Linked DNA regions of Mytilus edulis. The protein of the gene in region 2 purifies or fractionates together with the protein of the main gene of each other region. This does not show direct contact. Links are inferred from orthologs where the notes say so. Each region holds a gene or a part of one and is shown on either strand. Other genes may lie near its edges.

Region 1 (3,762 bases), on a different chromosome or scaffold from region 2:
ATAAGGATTAGCAATAATCCGATGGATTCGTTATACACGAATCACGTCATTAGATAAATTACGTCATTAACATGTAGTGCACTTTTTGCGTACTTTTTCATCTTTTTATGTTTTTGATTTTTTTTTGCGCTTTTTCTAATCCGTTCTTTGTAAAGGTATTTGAATAACTTCTATCTTCTTTATTTTATGTATGTAAAATTTTATTTTTATTATATTCTTACAATTTTGGAAAGTAAATGCTTAAAAACTTTAGGCAGTTTAGGAAAGTAAGCCTAGAATATATAAATATACTAAATGGCCTACTGCAATAGCGTCGGGAAAAAAGAGTGGATTTGAAACTCTATAGTTCTAAATATTATATAATTTTATATATATTTATAAACGCATCCTTACATAATTTTATTTTCATAAATTTCATAAAAAAGCTCCCCTTTCATATCTTTTAATATTGGTAAAAAAACGCGCGAATGTTTCAAGACGGAGGAATTAGATTTATCACAAAAACGGCGACGTCATAGTACATTACGTAGTTCATAACATCATTTCAATCGGCCGATGAATCGGCCCTTTGGCACTGAAAGGAGTATGACTTTGGGCCGATCATCGGCCCTATGGCACAGAACTCGTTAATTATTTAATATTTTGAATTGTTTGTAGATTTGTTTTCATTAAAGAGGGGCGAGTTGGCCACGTACATTTACGTAAATGTACATTGATAGTGGGTCTTCCAATGGATAGAAACAAGTGCCTGTGGGCACTTTGGTGAAAAAGTGGGGCGGTTTGTCAGTAGAGCAATTTATCCTGCTTCCCCACACTGAATTTTTACAAAGAGATTGTAAATATAAATTTTGATGGAAGGAATATAATTTTTTGAAGCAAATGTATGTCCTGTTCACGGCAAACTTAACCAAATTATCCGCTCCCCCTTTTTCAGAAAAAAAAACATATTTGTTAGTCGTACATCAGATCCATCGAATTGTCTGAGTTCAGATTCTGAGAAAATCTTTGCAGGTTCATTTTCGTTCTTTCCTGCTATTTCAATTTCAATCTGTTTGTATTTTCCTTTTATATTTGTGAAAATAAGAAAAAGTAAAACAGCTGTCAAAACTTGGCTGGTGGCTGCCATTGTTGTTGTTGAAATGATTTGATAAAACAGAACATTTGATTGGCTATAGATTTTACAATAACTAATCACGGACCTTGTAACGTATTTCCCGTTGTGAGTCAAATGCCGGGGTGTTAACTTCCGGTTTGTCTGCTAGAAGGAAAAGACCAAAGTTTGCATATTACTGCTGAATCCATCACCATCTGCCATGGATAAAGATGGAAGGAAAGTTGTTGTCTGTGATAATGGCACAGGAGTAAGCACTTTGAAAAAAATATTTCATACTTTACCGTTCTAATGATTTTAAATTTGTAAACAAACCCGGAAGTGTCAATATAGAGTTCCTTACTATTTATCTTTATATTTTTAATGCATAAAACTATACGAATAAAAATGCACAAACTACACTAAATGAACACAAACATATGTAATTCATTTTCACTTTGCACATATTACTTTATGAATCTGCATTCTATCAACATGATCCACAAATGTCTATTACCCAATACTTTTATTTGCCAACTACCCCTGTTGTAGTGTTGACAATTTTGAAGTTTTAATGCAATGAACTTTTCTAATCTTGGAAAGGCATTGAAAACTTTACTTGCATCTTGAGTACCAGTAAATTTGCTTGCGGTATTGTTTTCTAAAAAAACAGGTTCCAAACAGTCTGCGCAAATGGCGGATCTAGGTGGAGGGGGGTGGTTGGACCCTATATGTACCTTTTTTTTGGAAGATCAATGCATTTGAATGGGGACATATGGTTGGACCTCCTTCCCCTCCCCTGTCTATCCTGGGTTCGGAACACACCCCCCATTTTTTTTTAAATGGCTGTATCCGCCCCTGTTGCCAGGGATTGAAGTTAAGATTTTGGCACGGTTGCCCACAGCTTAAATTTGTAGACAATATATATAGTTTTAAATTAGGGAAGAAGAAATTTCAGTAGCCCACACCAAATTTTAGGGGCCATTGGTGAGTGTGCCTCTGCTAATTTCATACTGTGTCACTCTGTGTGCACCGTTACTAATCCGCCTCTCTGCGCTGTTACAAATGTACTAACAGTGCTACTGGCTTTAGCCACTAGTCTGGTGCCCAAGACTAATTAAACTTTATTCGAATTAGTTAGTTTATTAAAAACTTTGTTTAGACACATAAAAAAAAACCTCTTAATATTGGGTCTTTAGACTAGTAGTCAAAAAGTATTTAGTGCAGACTGTCGAAACATGATTACAGGAGTCCAAAACTAGCAAAGCCTGAAATAAAAATTTGACAATGGATTGGTCTTCTTTGAATTCAGTTTCATTTATATGTGGTAGAAAAGATTGCATGTATTTTCTAGGTTATGAAATGTAAATAAGATTCTAGACGTTATTTTGAAAATTGTTTTCTCTCATTGTCATGATTGTCAGTTATCAGGAAGATTTGATTTCATATCCTGCTTGTTATTATTCCCAATCTTAATACCAATTTTAAGTCTTGGTTTGTTCATTTGAACTTATTCTGACTCTAATTCAAATTATCAAAAGTTACAAAGCAGCTAATGATAATTCTCTTTTATTTACTTTTAGCAGGTTACATGTACAATGATGTATGTTGTTAGTGTTTCCTGCAGCTTTTAAAAAGGGCAGGGTAATTGTTAGCTCAGAGGGCACATTAAGCACGATGGACAACAATTTTAGGGCACTTACTTAATATAAACAGGCAATTTCTATAAAATGGATTCATTTAAAACATACTAGTTTAATGCTATAAAAAGGACATATACATCTGTAATCAATCATTAAAACAAATTGTTAAACAAGAAAAAGTGTTTAAAACATATATATGAAATATTTAAAACAATAAACACAATTAAAAACAAAATCAGTTCTTTAAAAATGTTTAAAAACAAGAAAGAACTATGTCATATATATATATAAAAATATTGCTTTTGTCATATTAATTGTCATTGACAAATCCTCCTTTTTTCCCCTAAAAACAGGTTGACACATTCCCTGATATCCAAATCATCTATTTGCTGACACTAGAACAAGATTGTTTACAGTTGACACATTCAGTCTATTTCTGCCTCTTTGGTGCTGAAAATAAATAAATTACACATAAAACAAGAATATCTTAAATAATCTGGAAGTTTTTTCATAAATTGTTCCTTTCTTAAATTAATTCAAATTAAAAACTGAAGAAGTAAATTTAAAAAAAATAATTTGATGAAAAAATGAATTAATTGAAAGTAATTAATATGCAAGTGATTTCATGAGATCATTGGCCTAACTCAACTTTAACCTTAAATTATCCCTTTGACAAAAGTTTATTTTTACCCCCGAAATAACAGTAACACCATTGCAAGTGCGTAACCATTTTGTAATAAAAATCTACAAACCTTTAAAAAAATGATAAAAGCTTTCTGCATTTTGCGGCCTGTTTCTCATTTTCTTCCTCACGTTTTCACTTCCGATTTGTTGATGGCATGATAAGTATCTGTATTCACTATTCAATCTTTTGCAGTTTGCTAATCAGCTGATTACGAAATCGATTACAAAATGGCGTCCTAGTGAACTTTTGTTTACGTTTGAAGGGAAATAACTCTAGCGGTATTCATAAAATATGTCATGTCTAAGTTATCAACATCAATCTGTAAATTTAAATACATATACATT
Region 2 (3,762 bases):
GACAGACACATAATTCTGGTGGGGTTATCCATATTTTGTGAGATCTAAACCCTCCCTTACACCTTATTTGTAGTACTTTTTTCTAATCTTTTGTGATTCAAAAGATTATCTTATCACCCTCAACCAAATCTATATTTATTAGCAACATATGATGTAGATGCCAGAAAAAAATCTATTTTACTTTTACTATGACTAAAAGTTTAACAGAAAAATACTAGATTCATCCTCAACTCATTCATTTCCTCTGACCTATTCATCCTTCCAATTTCCCCTGACAAATGTGTGTATAAAAACACCATTCAAATAGGAACATAATCTACTCAAATTTATCAATTTTAGGATTTCGCATTGATCACCTGCAGTGATCCTTTTTATAAAATTCTTTGATTAATTTTATGAAAGACAATGACATATAAAATGTATAACTAAACATATAGTTATTGAGTTTTATCTTTCACAACAGCTGTATAAATTTATGACAGCAACTACATATTTTTTTTTTTGACTCTTCACTTGATGACTTTTATCTTTTACATCATCCTAAATTACAGCTGTTGTAATTTTCCATATTTATTATGGGAAATTATGTTATCAATTTTTTTCTGTCTCTGAACATTCTGAAGGGATGGTCCTCAGACCTGTCTATACTATTTATAAATGAAACTGAAGAAATTAAAAAAAAAACATATATATCTTTAAATTTTGAAAGAAAAGAAGAAATAAACATGATAAATGTAAAGACTGCCAGATAAATATAAAGCAATACATTTAAGGTATATATATGTATACCTTTTGCAATTTAATGTTAATGATGAGACAAATGTAATATTCAAAAGTCTTTAAAAAGGAAACAAAGACAAGCACAGATTTGATCTCGACTAATGCAAATAATTGAAAGCTTTCTTAAGACATAATACACATTTTGTACAGCATAAAATATTCATACAGGGATTTAAATTCTATAAGGAAGATAATTCCTTTTAACAGCCAATCAATGAATGCCATCTGGATTTATAGTGGATAATGCACTTTCTAGTAAAAAATTAAATAAAATTATTTTACTTTAAATTTCTTTTAATATTTAATGAGATTCATTACAAAAAAAATCTGAGAATACTTCTTTTTTTCACAATATCAATTTCTTTTTCAGCCTTTATATATTTTTTAGTTATTTTAAATATAAAATTACTTTTTAGTGATAAAAAATTACCTTCACATTTGCTTGGCATGATAACCCCATCACTGCTGACATCAGCAAATGACTTTTGAAGAATGGCAATGCCTAAAAACAGAAGAAAACTGGCCATTTTCAGTGGACACATCCTGCACATGTAGTTTGTATACATTCACAACAAGGAAGTATTTCCTTTGCACTTTGACCCATGAAGGAAGTATTTATTAAGATATACAACATACAGAAAATAAAATATTATATTATTTCATCTAAAAAATAGTAAACAGTTATCAAAAAATATATAATAAATGAATTAGATGAACAATGGCTTAAATTTATATTTACTTATTCAGACATAGATTTAATTCAAGATAAATATTTTATGTTGAACATCAAACAAGTACCGGTTAGTCAGAGAGGAAACAAGTGTGAAGAAGAACTTTTATCTCTAACTTTTCGTGTTGACTGATCAGAGTCCACGGAATTTCTCAATTTTTTTCAGGTAAAAAGGGGTGAATATATATTGGTTACGTATGCATATTTATATTTGAGTTGCAAAAGTATCTCCATTGGTGTTTGTAAACATTGCACTTGCAGATCCTCCCACCCGGAAGCATCTTCATCAGGTTGGGGAAAGAAATCCGAATGAGGAATAGTTCCTCAAATGAGAAGTTGGAAGATCGAGCTATATTTATAAGGGGGTAACCAACCCGGGGTAAAAGCAGAGAAGTCCAACCATATGTCCCCTTTCAAATGCATAATGATCGTTAAAAAATAAAAGGGGTGAAAAAGGCAGTGTCTGCACGTACCCGAATATGTGTATGCTTAGCCAAATTGCCCTTTGTAGGCTATGCCTACCGCAACCGACTTTATAATAAACTGTCATAGGATCAGGAATGAAATGTGAAAGATACATGAAAATTATAAAAGAACGTTAAAAGAATAAAAATATACTTAATGTGAATAAATGTGCAGGTACGTGCAGACACTGCCTTGAAAAATGTGAATTAAAAAAAATATTTAATTTAAACGAAAGCTGTGTCAGATCCAATAGAGATCAATTCACAATTGATGCTATGAAAATATTCAATCCAACAGGATGTATTAAGCAGAGTTCGGGAAAGTACATGTATTAATTTAAAGCAGGGGTTCAAACTTTCTTAATTAGAAACGGTGATAGTTACATTGTAATCATCAAACCGATTATAAGCGTATATGTTAAGTATTAAAAGAAGTTCACCATTAATATGATAAAAACTGTTCATGTATATTTCAGTTTGTCTGGTAAAACAAAAAGATGACAGAAAAGCATAGTTTTGGTGTAACAGCAGTTTCATGTCATGCATGGAATAGTAATAGATCAGGTGTGTATAATAAAAAAAGGTGCTTTACCTAAAAAAAAAACCAACCTTGTGTGTTGATTGGATTCTGAGTGTTTTTCAGACATATATATCATATATGCAATATCTCCTTTCATTCATTTTTAGAACAGACAAATAAATGAAAAATGCTAATATTTTTGAACATACTCATATGCCATTATGGAAAATGCTTGATTTGCAACTTACATTTAATGTTTGAAAAAAGTACTTTAAAATACCCTACTTACATGTTTCTTAATTGGTATCAAATCTAGATTAAACAAGAAATACTAGAAAATGTATTAAAATAAAGTGAAATATTGAAACCGCTGTTATCAAGTCTCTCGTCTCATGACATGTATATATGTCATGGTTTATGTTTGTCACAAAAATGGGGATCAGATTCATCAAGAAACTTACACACTTCTGAAATCAATTTGCTGACTAAGTAAGCTGCAAGTAAAGTCAAAAATACAAATGCACATATAAACCAGGTATTAAATGGGGAAAAAAATTGTTTACATTGTAGATAGATATAGAAAGATGTGGTGTGAGTGCCAATGAGAAAACTCTCCAGCCAAATAACAATTTATACAAGTAAACCATTATAGGTCATTTTACGACCTTCGACATATAGCTTTGGCTCTTACCGAAAAAACAAGCTATAAAGGGTCCCAAAATTACTAGTGTAAAACCATTTAAACAGGAAAACCAACGGTCTAATCTATATAAAACAAGAGAAACAAGAAACACGTATAAATTACATAAACAAAGAACAGCTACTGTACTTCAGATTCCTGACTTAGGACGGGTTTATGCAATGACAGATGTTGAAAATTTTTATAAAATTTTCTTTTTTCAGAAATTGCTCTATCTCAGAATGATTCAATAGTGAGAATCTACAAGAAAAGTGGAAACAAATTTGATGAAACCGCCAGTCTCACAGAGCATGGTCAACAAGTAACGGGAATTGAATGGGCATCTAAAAGTAACAGGATTGTAACTTGTGGAGCTGTAAGTTAAATGTACAAGGATATATTTGATATATGAGTTTTAATGTGAACTTACAAATTAGAAACTACAAAAAACAACTTCTTGATATTTTGTATATTTAAAGCTTGGTATATTGGCTATGATGTGTAGTAAAGTTGTAAAATATTCTAGCCACTAGATAAAATGGAAATATCTTACGACTGTTGTTGTTTAAGCTCTAATATGAAAATACAT

What was found. Proteins that work in one complex are often made in the same cells at the same time.
Region 1: the proteins of actin-related protein 2/3 complex subunit 1A-B-like (region 2) and actin-related protein 2 purify together in Homo sapiens (affinity purification with mass spectrometry; 9 studies listed by BioGRID and IntAct, counting the BioPlex papers as one, with this or other methods). This does not show direct contact. The link is inferred for Mytilus edulis from reciprocal best matches to the Homo sapiens genes ARPC1A and ACTR2.

What each region holds. Positions count from the first base shown.
Region 1 is NC_092346.1:18,322,012-18,325,773, forward strand, and holds the start of actin-related protein 2, read left to right. Parts: upstream 1-1,202; 5' UTR 1,203-1,313; coding exon 1,314-1,361; intron 1,362-3,762. Other genes in the region: uncharacterized protein, read right to left, coding at 962-1,126. UniProt on the Homo sapiens protein: ATP-binding component of the Arp2/3 complex, a multiprotein complex that mediates actin polymerization upon stimulation by nucleation-promoting factor (NPF).
Region 2 is NC_092352.1:40,470,497-40,474,258, reverse strand, and holds the start of actin-related protein 2/3 complex subunit 1A-B-like, read left to right. Parts: upstream 1-1,561; 5' UTR 1,562-1,676; intron 1,677-2,450; 5' UTR 2,451-2,471; coding exon 2,472-2,538; intron 2,539-3,397; coding exon 3,398-3,549; intron 3,550-3,762. Other genes in the region: protein canopy 4-like, read right to left, coding at 1,211-1,346. UniProt on the Homo sapiens protein: Probably functions as a component of the Arp2/3 complex which is involved in regulation of actin polymerization and together with an activating nucleation-promoting factor (NPF) mediates the formation of branched actin networks.